Arabidopsis thaliana: one gene and its partners. The protein of the gene in region 3 interacts with the protein of the main gene of each other region in a biochemical or structural test. Each region holds a gene or a part of one and is shown on either strand. Other genes may lie near its edges.

Region 1 (5,069 bases), on a different chromosome or scaffold from region 3:
ACTTGGCATTGAGGTTATTCTCTAAACGCTTCATTCAAACATTCTTGTTCTAGTTGTCATTGTGATAATTGGATTCAAAATTTTTTAGTGGATATGTATTCAGCTTTGAGTTCTTCCTATACATAAGTATAATACCCGAAGTATTTGATAATTGCCTGTGTAGATGTAACCAAATATGCTGGAAATCAATTAGCTCAAACTTACAAGAAACGGGAGCTTAAGTTAAGGGGTGGAGATATATGGCATTACACAACTTAAAGTTAGAAATTTGTTATGATTTAAACATACTATACGGCAACAGATCATGTGTCTGGGTCATTAAGAATCATTGCAATGTTGTGTGTGCTCTGTCTGATCTTCTTACGCCTTTACAATAGGTTGCTATAGTTGTTGGAGGAGGAAATATCTTTCGTGGATCTACCTGGGCTGGGTGCAGTGGCCTTGATCGCTCCTCTGCTGATTATATCGGGTAATCATACGCCTTTGTGTCAAAGGATCTTCTTCTTCTTACTCGGAGAAGATCCAGAATTTTCCTCTACTGGAGGTTTTTGGTCTCATTGGTTTATCTGAAATTGGATAGGATGCTGGCAACTGTGATGAATGCAATATTTCTTCAAGCGACAATGGAGAGTATTGGCATCCCAACCCGTGTTCAAACTGCTTTCCGCATGTCGGAAGTCGCAGAGCCTTACATAAGAAGACGAGCAATCAGACATCTAGAAAAAGGAAGGGTTGTAATATTTGCAGCTGGAACAGGCAATCCATTTTTCACCACCGATACTGCAGCGGCTCTTCGATGTGCTGAAAGTAAGTAAAGAGGTGGTTTCCGTTTAAGTTTTCTCCAATGATTATTCGCAACACTAAAAAAAAACTTTTCGCATTGGACACAGTTAATGCAGAAGTAGTGCTGAAAGCAACAAATGTTGATGGCGTGTTCGACGATGATCCTAAAAGAAACCCAAACGCTCGTCTGCTTGACTCACTAACTTACCAAGAGGTCACCTCAAAGGACCTCTCTGTAATGGATATGACTGCTATCACTTTGTGCCAAGAAAATAACATCCCAGGCTTGTTTTCTATAACACTCTCTCAAACCTTGACCACATGCATACATGATCATCTAAAATACAACAAGAATGCTTATTTAGTTCTGTGTCAATTTGCAGTTGTGGTATTCAATCTTTCGGAACCTGGGAACATCGCCAAAGCAATCAAAGGAGAGAGAGTTGGTACATTGATAGGAGGAACTTGGAACTCCATTGTTACAACAACCTCATGAAGAAGCCTATTCTCAAAACACAAAACTTATTAGAGTATCTTAGGTCAGGAGAATCTTGTAACTCCTGTATATATTAGTTTGCAGACAAGTTTTACATTCTAGGAATCTGTCTGAAATTTTTGAAAGTTAATCTTTTTATACATGAAGCTCATTTTAAACCCTTTGGGCTACTACATTGGATATGTCAAAATACATAATACAAAAAAATTACAGAGCAAAACACCAAAAAAAAATCTAATCTTGATCCCAAATATGACTAAAGAAATCAGCAAAAGTTGGTGAAGCTACCAAACTAGTAAAGCCAGGACTTCGAAACGGGCTCATAAATCCCGCCGGCGAGAATAATCCCAGTGGTATAGCCGGCGAAAACATCCCACCTTGATGATACATCGGAGAGAATATCCCGGTAGAAGCTGTTGGCAACAAGGCCGGAGATGGCGAGAGTATTCCCGGAGCATAACCACCAAATTCAGCTGCTTCTTCCATAGCCGTGTTGATTTCCACCGTCTCATCTCTCGCAGCCGGTTCTTTTCCTCCTCTTGGACTAGCATTTTCCGTGGACGCTAGCCTCGCCGCCGGTGAAACATCTCCACCGCCGCCAGATTCGAGGAAAACACCAGAGGAGATCCCTGTGAGTCGCTGGACTACGTTCATGAACTCAGACGCGGTTGCGTGTACAACCTTGGGGGATACGGCGTAGATAACCACCGGCTCTCTAGGAATATACGGCGGCGGTTGGTCACGATTTGGCGGCGGCGCAGGGTGTTTTGGAGGTTTCTTGATTTTGTGAGAGTCTTTGTGAACACTAAGAGGTGAAGGACGAGGACCACAGATCTGAAGCTGCCGCTTCTGGTTCTGTTGATCGGAAGGATTGCCGCCGGCAAAATACTCCGACGGATCCATACTTGGGAAGCTTCCTTTTTTAGAATCAAAACTTGTTGTTCTTCTGCTCTGTTTGGTTTGGGAATTGAATGTTTTGGCGACTGAGAAAATTGACCAAAACAACAAAAAAGAGAAAGAAATAAAAAGTCATCAGAACGATTAGTTTGACTTTAAAAAATGTTGACTTTTTGTGTCTCCAACCAAATTGTTACAGCACATGCTTAATTAGGAAACTTCCATTCTTGTCTTAATGTTAGATAATTAATTAGTAGGAAAGATCTTAGGAATCAACATTATCAACGGCACACAGTTATATATATTAGTAATGTTGTCAATCATTAACATACAATTATTAGTGATAGTTCTATTTAAGTTTTACAAGTTCTAGAAGTTGCAAATTATGGTAACAATCAATTTCTTTCTTTCTTAGTACCTAGCTAAGCTATTAACGTCTGCATGCATAGAAGTAACAAACCTAATTAAGACCTATCATATGAGTTGTTAAAAAAAACAAAAACATGTATATTGTATAGGGTGAGTTAAATATATATACTTAGAAGACTAAGTAATTAAGTATCTACCCATAGAAATCAGATATTTAGTTGTCTTTTGTCAGCAAAAAAAGAAGACGAAATTGAACCTATGACCAAATAAGATCTACATAAACATACTAGTCCTCGTTGAAACATAAATGATTTTATTAAGTTACCTGATAAAAGAAAAATAAACTGGCTTTGGTTAAAAACATTTCTACATAAAAATATTACTAGTCTAATAATTTTTCCATATATAGATAATGATAACAATGAACATATATTATGAGGATGGTTGCTAACAGGCTTTCATTTGTTTATCCAAAGCCCATATCAATTCTAGTTTGGTCCAAGAAAATAGCTGATCAAAGTTTGAAACTTTCGAGTGTAATAATATTTTCAAACAATTCGAATAAAATAAGAGTGTATTGAGAAAGTAGTTACTTTTTAAAACATAATTTTAAAAGTAGTCATTTTATTATTTATAATTGTAAAGTAATCATTTTTCGTATACTTACATATGTACAATACTTTTAGTATATATATATAAATATATATACTTTGTATATTGAATGTATTGTATAAATTTATGTGTACGAAAAATGACTACTTTGTATATTATAATAGTAAAGTGAATACTTTTATAAATTTATTTTGAAAAAGTGACTTATTTTCAACTTATTCCCTAAATTAATAACTATAGATATATTTTTTAAATTTTTATTTAGTTTAAAAACTACAAATTTAGGATTGTTTGAAAGCTACTAATTTAAAAAGATAAACTACTCATAGAAGATGACTCCAACATGGTCCTTTAGAAACCTCTCCAGTACTGTCGTTGAGTAGTGTGGGGGAATTGACAGACACTTGGTACTCGTGGTTCGGCGCCATATCGAGGTCCGAATTTGACGATGCCTTAGTATCAGGGAGGGCTGGCAACGACGGACATGGGTACTCCTCGCCTTGCTGAACCACATCCACCAAACACTACAGGTCGAAGGTAGACTCAATGGCTTTGTATTTACAATTTTGGTATGAAGAAAGCTAAGTTTTAAAAATTCTAACATATTCATAGTCATTGAGTTGTTTAGTGTTTTGCATAGTTTCTAGAGAATGTTTACTAGTGTCTGGTTATACATGCAAACGAAACAATTTCTATTGTCATGGTTCCAAAATAAAACAGAGCAAAACGTTGCATTTGAAACTACTAACAGTTATTATAGATGTAGATATGAACGTGACTATGAAAAGTTGGAACTTTTGTTTTCAAACTACCAAAATTTGGATATGAAACTAACAAACAAACAAAAAAAGTTCACCTTTCACTTCAAATTTGATGTTCTTAAACTTTAATCCGATTTCATTTTCCACAAGGACTGCCTTCTCTAAAAGATTAAGAAAAGGAAGTTGAAAAAGTTATTACAAAAACAACATAGAAAAAGTAGCATCTGAAAGTATTTAACAAAAAAATCTCACCTTTCATGTTAGTTTTGATGTTCTTAAACTTTAATCCAATTTGTTTTTTCACAAGGAATGCATTCTCTAAAAACTTCAAACCATTGTCCTGCTGAGGATTTCTCCTCGGCATGTGGATTTGACATTCAAGTTATAAAGCAGGTGTTTTAGAGATTCCTTGCAGAGATAAAAAATGGCGAGCGCGGTAAAGACTTCATTAAACATCTATCGGACGATTCTCTTCAAGATACAGAGGAGATTTTGAACTCCTTGGTATAGAAACATGAACTGCAAACAAAAAAACATAGAACTTTACTCGCAATTCAGAGGAATTTAGGGTTGTTGTATAGAGTTTATGTGGTAACTTTGGATACCTTGTAACTGTAGCGATCTGAGACATCTTGATCGAAAAATCGGAGAGCAATAACAAGAAGGGAAGAGAAGAAGATGTTGAACAACAAAAACCAGTTGTTATTTGTGGGTTGAGCAGAGAAGGATGTGTAGGAAGTAGGCATTGTCGTAGAAAAAAATGGTGACACCAAATGTGATGTTCTTGTAAAAGAAGTAACATAACTGGCAGAGATATTAAAATAAAAAAAATGAAATTTATTTTGGAGGATAATTTAATAGGGTATCAAAAACATATGGATATATTAAAAATTAAAATAAGTTGTAGATGATATTAATATCCATATGTTTTTGATACTCTATTAAATTATCCTCCAAAATAAATTTCATTTTTTTTTTAATTAAGTTATAAAGTTAAATAAGACAAAAGATTATGGATTCTGAAACCTTCTATAATATCAACTCAGATAATTTTAATTGTTTTACTAAAACAATCTTTATTGTTCCTCAATCAGTTTATATTTATTATATCGTATATAATATATAAAAAATTCATTCAATCTGAAAACTTA
Region 2 (5,808 bases), on a different chromosome or scaffold from region 3:
AAGCATGTAAAAATCTCAAAACTTTGCTCAAAAACGAATCCAAACCCGATTCAGAAACAAAAACCTTGAATTCGAAAATCGCCCACTTTAGTCCCCGGTCCAGAGAAGAGATCTCCAAAACAGAAAAAATTAGGGTTCTTCTCTAATTTAAACGATTCAAAAAACAGAGATTCAAGTTAAGGAAATGTTTTGTCAATTTAACTCTTTTTTTTTCAAAGATTCACAATTTCGAAAATTCCCAATTCGAGATCTACCACCACCTTTGAGAGAACAAGAGAGTTTTCAAATTTTCTTCTCCAGATCCAAATTTTGAGATGCTTATTATTTTCTCCGAAGGCCGAAACTTGAAGAGAATGTGAAATATAGACGAAGGGAGAGAGAGAGAAGAAGAAGGAGAATCTAGTTGAGAGAAGGAGTTTAATCTAGACCGTACACGTCAGCGATCCGAACGAGGTAAATTATGTCAGCGCGACGTGTGATTGGCGCCAGATGAGGGGTATTTTAAATGACGAAAGTAGACATCTCTGTGAATTTTCTTTACTAGTTTTGTGTCTGATGATCCAAAGTTTTTGACTCGAAAAGTTTGTCAGTTAACTTACCTCTATGGAAGTCGAAGTTCGTACATAAATTTCAGTGGTCAAATATGTCGTGCGGCTTTTATGAAACTGTTGCTTGTCTTTTTATTATAACTGACGAAAAAAACAAATTTGGACTGGAATTATGTGCATAACAACTATTTTGTGAAAGATAATCCAAAGTAATATGGGAACTTATTTGATATTTTGCATCACTGAGTTTTGGTATTAGTACAACTTTTGGTTTCAAATTCAAGCTCACGATAATATGTTAAATATAGTTCATGTTGCACTACAATCCAGACAAAAAAATTGGTTCGAGTTAGATACGGTTTCAATTTAATTTCTATAGATTATAAAAGAAGAAGTTAAAATACAGAAATTGTTTTCAAAGTAGCTATCAGATTACCAAACAACATAAAGTGGCAGATCTTCAATCTGCATATACCAAAGTCATTTTCTAACCAATTGAGTAACTATTTGTATATGTTCAAGGGTCATATGACTACGTATACCATTTAATATTATGTTATTAATCCTGTTGTTAGGGGAAGCAAGAAAGATGAAAACTCAATTTCATGCTATGCAACAAATCATCAACACATCAAGATGTTCAAATCAGTCAAAAGGTAACACTAAGGCAAATGATATCCTAAACCCGTATAAATCTCAATGTTTATATAAGATGTGTATAATAACCTCTTGTGGTGGCATCAATATTCAATCAACAATGGTGATAAATGATTGAAAAAAAAGGAAGAAGAAGAATGAGAAGTAATGGCCAAAGTGATATACAACTAACTTTTACTAAATCTACATCTTATCCGCGATTTTTGCCACAGCATCAGCGAGCTTATTGAGAACAGCGACTAAGCTATCACCGTGATCTTTTCTTTGCTCTCTGTCTAGTTTTAAGTTTAAATTCTGAACCTCAAGCTGTGCCGCCAACAACTGCCCGTTTCTTTCTAGTATCTCTATCAACTGATTCTGCATCTTCTTTGTTTCTCCTTCTTCTTCTTCCTCTTCCTTTTCACCAAAAGATGTCCGTTTACGCTTCCTCTCTTCTTGTGATGTCGATCCACCTTCCACGTTTGCTGCTTCTGGCTGTTTCTCTTTCACTCTACCTTCAAGTTCAAACTCAACATTTTAGTATAAAAACAAGAACATAGAGACCCTTCAACATAAACGAAAAGATCACACACCATAGGGAAGATTGTTAAACTACTTTTATAACACAATTTGAGATGCATTTTAGAATACGAAAACATCATTTATCTACATGACAACATAACTACATAGTCAAGACTCAAGAGAAACACACTCTAGAGCTCTAAAACTAGTTTGAGATTAGCATATAGAGCAATAGATCAAGCAAATACACACAGAGAGATAAACAAACCTTGATCTGCTACACAAGCTTCTTGCTTCTCTTTGTCTATAACATCTTCATCAAAAAAATTGAACTTCATAAGAAATGGAATCATTCTGATGAACATACAAAATAAAAACTTAAACTTTGATCTGAATTTTACCAGTAACTGATTTAGCCACCGGAGTAGAATTCAACTTCTCAGGACTTTCTCTCCGATCTAAATCAGACAACAATCCCTCGTCTGACGCCGGAGCCAATCCAAGCGAAAGAACCGGAACCGCCGGAGGAATCACACCACCGTCAACAATATCATAAACCTCCTTATCGAAAAAACCAGGAAGCTTCTTCTCTCTACGAACATCATTCCTCATAACCCAATAGGACTCAGTCTCTTCCTTAATCTGAGACTCCCATTCTTTAATCTTCTTATAATCTCCGGCGAGATTGCTCCATCTTTTCCGGCACTGAACCGGCCCACGATTTACACCGTGACGTTTACAGTAAGACGAAACAGAAGCCCATTTAGGCTCCATTTGACCCGACCCGAGAGCCATACCCGCCGCTCTCCCTCGCCGGACTCTGTTCTCCGCCACTCTCTTCCCTTGAATCAGAACCAGAATCTCTTGTCTCGTCCAACGAGGAAGTCTCGCCGTCTTAACGCCGTCATCTCCACCGTCATTTGACGGCGCGCTACTGTTCTCTCCACCGTCAACGGCGCTCACTCCTAATCCTAACTGTTCCAGAGCCATTCAAACGGAATATTCCTTCCCGTTTTGATAATTCCGTTCAAACGGGTTCCAGACTTAACGGCGTTATGGTGAGGACATCCCGTTAGCGCCGGAGAGAGAGAGGAGCTACAAATGAAAGAGCAAAGAAAAGATTTATTTTGTGAGATAATGACTTTTTAATGTATCTTAATCTGATTTTTAATTTGGTGACTGTAGATAAAATTGACCCTTGTGTTATCATTTTATTTTAATTTCGTCCCTTAAGCCTTTCATAAGGTTCATGTAGATATGTTGAATTTAAGTAGACCGTAATCTTTAATTCCTTTAGACCGTAATTAGGGATTACATGCTTGATATGGCTATTTCCTGATTTTTTTGACACATCACTTTCATCACCTCATTTTCTACGGCCAAGATCACTCTAAAAATAAAATCAAAAATTATCTTTTTCTTATATTAATAATAAACTGTATTTATTGTTTATGTAATAAAGATAATGCACATATAATTTTCATATTTGGTAATATTATGATATGGTTGTGTGTAAATATGGAGGGGGCGTAGATTATGGCAATAAACGCGCCCTTTGAGTATTTCTATTGGTTAATTTCTCTCCAACTACCATAAGTTGCTTTTACTCCATAATCCTTATATATGCGTTTTGGTCAATTTCCTCCGCCATTTATTTTTTTGGATTTTTCTACGTTTTTGTCAGCTTAAGATAATGACAATATTAGTGAGTCTCTGCTTTAATAACCTAGTGATCTTTAAGAGCCCTCAGGGTTTTTGGGAGTTCCATTACAAAAAATGCTATAAACATTGTAGAAGTTTTCAACAGTCACATATCATAATTAGTAACAGTACCCTAAATCATTTAAATGATTAAATGGGTTTTGGGACCCTTTTTGTAAACTATTTTTTGTTGCAATAAACTCTGAAACTATCTTTTGTTGGCATAATTCTGAGCCTACTTAAATGTATAAACAAATCGTAGCTAACCGTTCCTTAAAACAATGTAGACAATAAGACAACATCATTATGAAAAAGCAAATGAATGACGAGAGAAGCATGAGGAAAGCTTGCTGACGAGTAGAGATAGATATATCAATATATTCACTTTTGAGGGTTTAAAAATAAGAAAAAAAATCATGATAAAAAAAAGTTTGTTGTTTAAGGTTTGTAAGAAGAAAAGAAAAACAGAGATATCACTACTACATGTTAAGGTTTATGATTTTTGACAAGTAGAAAGAGAAACTCTAGAGCTCTAGAACTATAGAGCAAAGTTTTCTATGAAATAGATCAAATCCAAAATGGAGATATGATTTATGAAACACACATGACTAAGGGTAAACATGTATAAATCAAATCAAGATTAAACCATAATGTTCTTTGAGATGGAGAAAGAGAACCAATGCCAATGTTTTGTTCAAGCTTGCTAGTAAGAGGACATGAAACTAAAGCCAATAAAATAAAAACCAAGAGACATCGATACCGTAAATACCATTTCTGTTTGAATATAGAATTTCATCTTACGCATAGAATTTGTTTTTTGTTTTATTAGAAATCTTGACTCAGTCGTATAAATGTTTAGCTACGTACTTAATGCAATACTTTGCATTAAAGGGAACCCTTAAAACCCCTAAAGGGTAGATTGTGAAATGAAATGATGCCCCTACCACTAACACCAAATAAAATTCCCAAGTTTTTTTTTTCATTTGCCCTTGTTTACCACTCAAAGTCTATCTCCAAAATCGCATCATTCGTTTTTAATCATTAATTTAAATGGCTATTAATGCTTGATTATGTTTTATGCCCCCTCCCATCCGTTTAAAGCCACTTTATTTTCTATGGAAGAAATGCCCAATGGATTGATTATCTTTTCTAGTTTGTACCCATCCATACGTATCCATTGATTTACAATGAAACTCTAGAATTTTTCTAAAACAAAGGTACGCTAGTTGCCTAGACGACTAGACCAAAAAATTATTGGGATCACAAAGTCACTTGCCATATAAACCAATGACTTGGCCACATTTAGGGCATTATTAAAATGATTCCTTAAGTTTAATCATAAGTGGTAATCTAGGTTAATTAGTGGAAATTGATATAAAGTTTTTTTTTGTAGAATGATTACTTTAGGAGAAACAAATCATATAAGGATTGAAACAAGACAAGTCACATTAATTTCAAAACATGAAAGGCACATCATGGTACATAGTAGGATAGTATATCCCAGTACATCACAAAAACAAATCCAAATAGGCAAAAACACACAAGGAGCTTTATAGACAAAAGCTCAAATCTCAAACCATAAGATCGTGTAGAGAAGAAAGTCCAATATCATCATCGTAGGAAGCTGTTGGGTGGGAAATGTCTTAAAGGGTTCTGTCGTAGCAGCTCTGTTTCTCTGCATTTTTTTAAGTAACCATTGTTAGATCTCTACCAAGTCATGATATAATATTTGTTTGGTGAATGAATCTTTAGGGGAATTTTTTTGCTTACTTTTTTATCTCACGGCCGCCATTAAGGGGCAGAACGTTTGATGATGATGAGATAGTTTCATCATTCTTCTTCTTTTCTTCTTCCTCTCTGCATTTCAGAATCATGTTAATGGTGGAAACATGTTTTGTTCAGAAAACTTCTGAAAAATTAGTCAAACTTACTCTGTACATTCTTCTTCATCGACAAAAACCTCAAAGGTGGAAGCAGATGCTGCTGCAACAGTTCTCACAATGGGTTTCTGAGGAACCTGTGACAATAAATATAAATGCAGTTAGTGATCAATTTATAGAGATAGTATGAGCCAAGTGAGATAGTTTTGTTTAGGAGGGTAGAGGGAAAACCTTGAATGATGCCCATTTTCTAGGTAAAGAATTGTTTTCTTTGTTCCTCTCTGCTCTGCCTCCAAGCATGAGCCAACTACCAAACTCTGGTCTTGACTTGTCTGACTCTGGTTGATTCCCTGATGTGGTGTCTGAAACTGCATCTGCGTAGATAGCAAAAGGTGTCTTGGATGATCTGCAAAAGACAAAGTTGCTTACCATAGTGAGTTGCAGAATAATTTAAAGGTATGAGTTGATAGAAAATGCAGATAATGAAAACAACGAGAAATATAGAACCAATCAAACTACTT
Region 3 (7,656 bases):
GAATTATATAATAGTATATATATCATAAACTTATCAGTTATCATAATATTTGAAAATAAGATGTGTGGAAAATAATGTAAAAAGTTTGCGAAAAGTTTTAATTAAGATTGGTTTTTTTGGGTTAGTGAATTATATAATAGCATAGATATCATAATAGTTACATTTTATTGGAAAATTTTCTTTTGTCCTTAAAATTATCTAAGAGATTGAAGCCTTGAAGGTATCTTTTTAAATGTTTTAAAATTATTAGTGTAGTTTCTTAAGGAAATATATTAAAATCTAAAATATATGATGATATTAAATTAATTTTTTCTTTTTCAGAAATATCTCAAAATATATTACCAAAATTGAATAAATTTATATATATACAATTTCGAAATCAATAGCCTGATTTTTATGGAAACTAAATTCATTTAGTAGTAGTTAATTTACTAAATTACCCATGTAAAATTTCATTTAGTTAATTTTAAACTACCCTTATAATGTTGTAGTTCACAAAATACTTCCCAATTAATAGTATAAATACTTGTTTTCAATTTTATACTAAAGAAGAAAATTTATAAATAATATCAAATTACATCTTAAATATATTCAATGATATAAATTAGTTATATTTGTTTATATAATCTATCATATGCTGCCTCTCAGATTCATCGAAGGCTTTCCAAAGATTTCATCTACTTTAGCGCTAAGAAATATATCAAACTCACTTGTCGCTTTGACCCAATAAAAGCCCAACGCGGCCCAGTAATATAAGCTTGAAAAGCAACGTGAGAATGACAAATATACCCTCAAAATAAAGAATTGTTTTAAAGACGAAACCAGAAGTTTATAGCCCTTGGATTGATAAATATCCGGCGGCTATATTTACCACTTTTTCTTATAGAGCGTTATGCTGACAAATGTCAACGATTGAGTGGAAAAATCTACTATAACTGAGACATCAGAACCGTAAACGTGTGTATTTGTCTCTATTCTTCGTCACTGCCGCGTAGGTGAAACGGAAAAATCCTTTACAACTACCAAAACCAACGCGGGACTTAAAGTAGCGATTGCGTTGATCTGCAGCACACGGCACGTTTCTTTGATTCCTCCCTATAAGAACGCGTTTCAAGTTTTATTATCATACACTAAACCCATCTCCTATTTATACTTTCTTTTGGGTTTTTTTCTCTCCTTCATTGAAGTAGCGTAACATTGAAGTAAGCGGTAACATTTCGGAAGAATCTCTTTCTTTAGGTGAGTTTTCGTTAATCTTCGGCGAGTTTGGTTAAAGTAATGGTTTTTGTTCTGTCTTTGCATTCTTGAGATCTATTGATTCGGATTTTGGATTCAGAACAATGTTATTGGTTTGCTCATTGTTTCAGATTACTAACTTTGTTTCTTCTTTCTGTGTGTTTTCAGTTGATATGAGCCAACAACGTACACGCTCTCGGAACCCGTTCAAGATTCTGTTTACGAAGAAGAACAATGCTCGATTATCGCCAAAGCTTCTCTCACTGTTGAACAATTTCGAGACTAACTTGACGGTATCGATTAGAGAACTTGTACCAAAGGATAAGAATGATATCGTTAGTGTTTCTTGGATGATACAAGCCATGCAGTCTCTTTGTGAGACACACAAGAGTATCAGGACGCTCGTGAAGGATTTAGAGGTTCCAGTATCGGATTTGGAGGAGAATTTCATTTATATCTTCTCTGACTTTAGCTTGAAGCGGGAACTCTGCAACGCCTTTACCTCAGAGATATATCATTTGGAACATGGCAATCTATTACTAAAGTTTGCTTTTAGTAAGCTGGAGACAAACAGTGGCAATATTCTTCAGCGTTGGAATCAGCACATGGTTTCCAAGAACCCGAGTATCGAAAACTGGGGCGCGGTTTTGAGTAGGCTGGTTGAATCGATGGATCATCATCATCATATCTCCAAGAAGGGGAAGAAGAAATACTCTGCGGAAGGAAAAGTTCTCTTACGAGTTTTATACGGTGTAAAGGTCAAGACTTTATACATATTCAGCGTGTTTGATGCATCGTTCTCGGGTTCTTCCAAGAATCTCTTCTATCTAACCATTCCAAAGGAGATGGAGGAGCTTCCATGGGTTCAAGCTTTCATGGAACTGCAGAACACTATTAACCCGGAGATCAAAAACACATTTTTATCAGACGGATTCACGGTTATAAAAGATCTCGAGGCTGTTGAAACCGGTGTGAAGAAGCTTTACACAGCGGTACAAGAAGGGTCGGTTCCTATTTTGTTAGTGGAACCATTGGAGAAGTCAGTGATAGAACTTTCGGAAAGGTTTGAGCTAGTCTCCAAGGAAACACGTTGCTTGTCGAAGATGGTGATCTCTGCCCGAGACGCATTGTTGGAGAGCCTGTGGACGAAATGCGCAGAAGAGCTAGGAGTGACATTGCCAACGATGGTTAAAAGTGTTAATATAGAGGAAAAGAGCTAAGACTTGTTTGTGAATATAGAGGAAACATGTAATTATGGTATCGTTGATGTTAAGTAATAACAAATGCAGATAAAAATGAGACTTTAAAACGCTTCAAATATTGATAACTCTCTCTTTTCAATCGGTGCTAAGCTATAACTACATTTTCAAGTTAGTCAGAATTGTGCTTTAGTTCATCTTAGTTGATAATGGATAAGTGATGGGTTTGCTTGAGGCCCATTGTAAATCACTAGACCAAAAAAAATCAGTGTTATTTTCATGGTTACATGATCAATCAATCAAAGCAAACCAGATATTCTAGCTATTAATAATAACAAATGCACCAAACTTCAACATGGTTATATAAGTTGTTTAACCATGATTTTTTAAAAAAAATCAAAATGATGTCATTTTATCTTATACATAAACCTTTTTTCACTAATGGTTTTGGAATCAAAGGTCAGTTTTATGGTCAAAAACAATTTGGCCGCCCATTGACTTGTACACCACCAATATACCAAGTCGTACTTAAATTCTTATTGGAGAAAAGTTGTCATCTAGATTCTTTTAAACTTTATAATATGATATCAAGAACATTCCTACATGAAGTCATTAACTTGTTCCATTCTACAAACTTCATCAATTACATTTTTTCGGCAAAAGTCATAACCATATCTAATCTCTACTTCGTGGGATAACGCGATTTAGTAGAAGCAAACTCCAGTAAACAAAACTTAACCAATTGACTAAAAACACTTACCCGTTCCTCAATTACTTAGAGACACAATCATCGGATATACCCAACTCGATACCATAAACAAAATTGAAAATTGACATTACAAAGAAAAAGAACAAAAACCAAAGAAGAAGACGCAAACCCGGTTTAAGGGTCACGGGTGACTCGAGAGGAGACTTCCTCTTTACCGTTCAATAAAAAAAAAAGGGTAAAGGTAGAGACTTTATAACGAAATGTCAACACCCATCTTCTCGATTCCTCAATTTCTCTAGGGTTCTTCGTTTTCGTTGTTGTGAGGAATTTTGCTCCGATGTCGGCGGAGAGTTGTTTCGGAAGCTCGGGTGATCAAAGCAGCAGCAAAGGAGTGGCTACTCATGGTGGTAGCTATGTTCAGTATAATGTCTATGGCAATCTCTTCGAAGTTTCTAGAAAGTATGTTCCTCCTCTTCGTCCTATCGGTAGAGGCGCTTATGGAATTGTCTGGTGAGTTCCAAAATTAATCAGATTGGGTTTTTGAAACATGTAATGTTCACTTCTGGGGTTCTTAGATTTGGGAATTAGGGTTTTGGAATCTGTTGTTATTATAATAACTTGTGTTGATAATTGTTGATCAGTGCTGCTACAAACTCAGAGACTGGAGAGGAGGTAGCTATCAAGAAGATTGGTAATGCTTTTGACAATATTATCGATGCTAAAAGGACTTTGAGAGAGATTAAGCTTCTCAAGCATATGGATCATGAAAATGTACGTGTTACTAATCATCAGCATCTCTGGTTTTTTTTGTGTGAATCTTATATTGGTTTATTGTGCAGGTGATTGCTGTAAAGGATATAATAAAACCACCGCAGAGAGAGAACTTCAATGATGTTTACATTGTTTATGAGCTTATGGACACTGATCTCCACCAAATTATTCGCTCTAACCAACCCTTAACTGATGATCATTGTCGGGTATGCATCAATCTCCATCTTGCTTATATCTAGCAGCTGAATCTTCTGTTTCTACTTTAGAAGCAGCTGTTATTGTGTTAGAGCATCTGATGAGTATTGCTTGATACTTTATAAGTGAGAGCTAATAAGGATTTCGTTTGTTATGCTTTGAAGTTGTGTTTAGTAATTAGTTTCGATTATGTTTTGCAGTTTTTTCTGTATCAGTTGTTGCGTGGGCTCAAATATGTTCATTCAGCTAATGTATTGCATCGAGATTTGAAACCTAGCAATTTGCTCCTGAATGCAAATTGTGATCTAAAGCTTGGGGATTTCGGGCTTGCGAGGACCAAATCCGAGACTGACTTTATGACTGAATATGTTGTTACACGTTGGTATCGAGCTCCAGAGCTGCTACTTAATTGCTCTGAATACACAGCAGCAATTGATATTTGGTCTGTCGGTTGTATACTCGGTGAAACAATGACACGAGAGCCCTTGTTTCCCGGTAAAGATTATGTTCATCAGCTTAGACTCATCACTGAGGTAATCTAGTTTAGTATGTTTCATCCAAAGAATCACCACTTAGTCTCTCTTCACGGTATTAATGAATCTTTGGAAAGCAGCTTATAGGATCTCCTGATGACTCAAGCTTGGGATTCTTAAGAAGTGACAATGCAAGAAGATACGTTAGACAGCTTCCACAGTACCCTAGACAGAACTTTGCTGCTAGATTCCCAAACATGTCGGCTGGTGCAGTCGATTTGCTGGAGAAAATGCTTGTTTTTGATCCAAGCAGACGCATCACAGGTGAGTTATATTTTATATAACTGCTTCTCTGTTTCTTCGGCTATTTTCTGAACATGTTTTTTGTGTGTGTAGTTGATGAGGCGTTGTGCCACCCATATTTGGCGCCGCTGCATGATATCAACGAAGAACCGGTATGTGTGAGGCCGTTCAATTTTGATTTCGAGCAACCTACTTTGACAGAAGAGAACATTAAGGAGCTTATATACCGTGAAACAGTCAAGTTCAATCCTCAAGACTCAGTGTGAGAGAAAGAGAGAGAGATATATATCCTTAAAAGGAAACTCATCAAAATGCTATGTTTTGTTTTGCTCTGCTTTTGTTATCAAATCTCTGATAAGTTTGATAATATGTCTGTAATTTGAATAACATCCTAAAAAATTGGAAAAAAAGAAAAGAACAACCTTTGAGCTGTGTTTTGCAATAGAGTGTATTTAAATTTCCTTACTTTTTAGTCGAAAGAAAATACAGAGAAGTCTTAACTCTAATTACATCCACTAATTATCTTAATGATGGGGTTGAGGTCCGAAGGTGCGTAACCATCTGTTGAAGCGGTCCATAAGTGACAACTCTATCTTCTTCGTCGGAACATTGGGGACAGGTACGGCTTTGGTGAGTGGTCCGACCACGACTCGTAGCTTAAGCCCAGCGTAACAGTGACCTGGAGTCTTAGAGCTAATGAAATAATGGACTCCTGGTTCTGTGAGCGTGACGAGATCGTGGCCTGTCATGTGCACGGCTACGGGAGAAATCGGGTAGCAGGATATGAATTCAAGGTCCCCGCTGATCTCTAAGACGTCGTTGACTTCGTTGTCGTATTCGAAAAGAAGACTGTCTCCGATCGGAAACTGCGTCTTCTCACTCCATCTGTAATAAAAGTAACTTTCTTGCGGAACACTCCATCCCTTGGAGCCACACCAACTCTGTAGATATTTCAAGGAGGAAGGATCTTGCTCGGTGGTGTTGGAGGAATGGGACGTGACGAGTCATGAACGACAAGAATGTCGAGCTTCTGTCCCGATGCGCATTGAGCATGGTTTGAGCTGATGAACTAGTGAAAACCTGGTTCCGTGAGGGTTACGATATCGTGTCCAGGGTTGTAGACGGCTTTAGGAGAAGAAGAGTCGCAGAACTCGTATTCCAAAGCGCCGGAGACTTGAGTGACGTCGTTGAGGTTGTGATTGTGTTCGAAGATCAAAGAATCCCCAACGTGGAACACAAGTTTCTTTTGGCAAACAAATTATGTCTTTTCTTTTGGCGTTTTTCTCATATATATAGGTAGTAAAAGCAATGGAATGCTCACGATTCCTTGAAAAAAAAACAAGATCTTATTTGCAAAACAAAACTAACAAGAAACAATAACGATTGAGAACCAAGTCTCTATAGTTGATAAACTGGGCTTATGAAATCTTGTAGATTGTCTTGTTATGCCCATAAACTGAAAATACACGCCAAGCACATCATCTTCATCTCCAGCAACACGTACGTCGACACACATCACAAGTCATTACGGCATCAGTAGCTTAGTTACATAATAGTACTATATATATTCTCCAGCATTTTATTCATACGTTATAAATATTTCTTGCTGATTATATAGCTAACAGTAATTAGAGACGGAAATGACATCAAAGTCAACTCCCACATAAAGCTTATCCTTCACCAAATAAGGGTCATCAAGTTCCCCTAGAGGCATGAAATCCGCAAAGCCATGGCGGTCATCAGGTTCTGCACCAAGCCAACCCGAAACTATACGTACCAGGAGAAAAAGATTAGTACTGTATTTAACCATCATGCATCACAAGACTTTCCAAAACATAATAAACACATACTTGTTTTCTCAACATGATTCCTGCTAACTTGATCCAATACACGCAGCTTGAACCTCGCGTAAGTTTTAGTCTTTGGTGCATTATTGACAAACCCTAGTGCCGATAGATACACAGAAAATGATTTGTCTTTTTCACCCATAGACCCTCTTGGATGAACTTTAATTCTCCTGATCAAATATATTGTGATGCATTTTTATTAGTATTATATATAAGTTGTGTTATGTTTTTGGGAAAAAGGAGGAATATAATATCAACCATTTCCGGGTTCCAACGACAAATTCATTAGACTGATGAACGTTTCCAGGGTTGAAGGACGAGAACATGGTCATCATCCAAGTGACTCTGTGATTAAGAGGCTTCTCTATTAAGCTAAAACTTTCCGCTGTTCCGGGTTTAGCAGGTTCAATCCCATGGAACTTGACACCAAACATACAACAATCTCCAATAAGGAAACCATTTTTCTTAAGATCAACAAGAGATATGAACTCACGAAACCCCTCACTACCCAGTTCTTCATTGGTTTCGTATTCATCTCTTCCTGCACATCAACATATATGGACGCCGTATCAAACCTATATACACACAGATGTATGCGTGATTGAATGAAGCAAGAGAGAGAGAGAGAGAGAGTGAGAGAGACCGTGAGTGTGCCATTTTGGCTCAAGTTGACTGACGGCAAGAAGCTCATATGTAAGCGTATCATATACCGGAGCTTGATTCATTAAGTAGAGGGAGACATAATGTGTCCCCTTAGCATTTGTATGGCCATTTGGGTGCACAGAGAGTTTCCTGTTACCAATCAAGTCGTTAAGAGGATGATCACCATCTTTGTTTTCTTTTGTATGTCAATAAGCATAATAACAAGATTATAAACAACTTCACCATTTGTGACCAGCGAGATCGAAAACAGAGGACTCGAC

The links.
Region 1: the proteins of MPK4 (region 3) and MKS1 form a complex in vitro, tested with the Arabidopsis thaliana proteins (one study listed by BioGRID).
Region 2: the proteins of MPK4 (region 3) and AT2G33550 form a complex in vitro, tested with the Arabidopsis thaliana proteins (one study listed by BioGRID).

What each region holds. Positions count from the first base shown.
Region 1 is NC_003074.8:6,428,242-6,433,310, forward strand, and holds MKS1 (MAP kinase substrate 1), read right to left. Parts: upstream 2,274-5,069; 5' UTR 2,183-2,273; coding exon 1,514-2,182; 3' UTR 1,293-1,513; downstream 1-1,292. Other genes in the region: AT3G18680 (Amino acid kinase family protein), read left to right, coding at 1-13, 378-469, 581-807, 891-1,279; AT3G18700 (uncharacterized protein), read right to left, coding at 3,481-3,656, 4,014-4,079, 4,171-4,258, 4,384-4,437, 4,524-4,664. UniProt on the Arabidopsis thaliana protein: Regulator of plant defense response. May contribute to MPK4-regulated defense activation by coupling the kinase to specific WRKY transcription factors.
Region 2 is NC_003071.7:14,208,792-14,214,599, forward strand, and holds AT2G33550 (Homeodomain-like superfamily protein), read right to left. Parts: upstream 2,903-5,808; 5' UTR 2,697-2,902; coding exon 2,108-2,696; intron 2,020-2,107; coding exon 1,975-2,019; intron 1,700-1,974; coding exon 1,389-1,699; 3' UTR 1,191-1,388; downstream 1-1,190. Other genes in the region: CPL3 (C-terminal domain phosphatase-like 3), read right to left, coding at 1-6; BUBR1 (BUB1-related (BUB1: budding uninhibited by benzymidazol 1)), read right to left, coding at 5,019-5,082, 5,178-5,264, 5,339-5,424, 5,519-5,693. UniProt on the Arabidopsis thaliana protein: Transcriptional repressor that binds DNA and plays a negative role in regulating microbe-associated molecular patterns-(MAMPs, e.g. flg22, elf18, chitin, and LPS) triggered immunity (PTI) by negatively regulating immune gene expression.
Region 3 is NC_003075.7:563,738-571,393, forward strand, and holds MPK4 (MAP kinase 4), read left to right. Parts: upstream 1-3,179; 5' UTR 3,180-3,481; coding exon 3,482-3,654; intron 3,655-3,785; coding exon 3,786-3,915; intron 3,916-3,983; coding exon 3,984-4,121; intron 4,122-4,310; coding exon 4,311-4,643; intron 4,644-4,723; coding exon 4,724-4,907; intron 4,908-4,979; coding exon 4,980-5,152; 3' UTR 5,153-5,410; coding exon of another isoform or gene 5,411-5,827; 3' UTR 5,828-5,985; coding exon of another isoform or gene 5,986-6,129; 3' UTR 6,130-6,267; coding exon of another isoform or gene 6,268-6,339; 3' UTR 6,340-6,504; downstream 6,505-7,656. Other genes in the region: BPS3 (BPS1-like protein), read left to right, coding at 1,410-2,456; AT4G01380 (plastocyanin-like domain-containing protein), read right to left, coding at 5,411-5,827, 5,986-6,129, 6,268-6,339; AT4G01390 (TRAF-like family protein), read right to left, coding at 6,505-6,653, 6,737-6,903, 6,992-7,274, 7,377-7,525, 7,619-7,656. UniProt on the Arabidopsis thaliana protein: The ANPs-MKK6-MPK4 module is involved in the regulation of plant cytokinesis during meiosis and mitosis. Essential to promote the progression of cytokinesis and for cellularization (formation of the cell plate) during male-specific meiosis.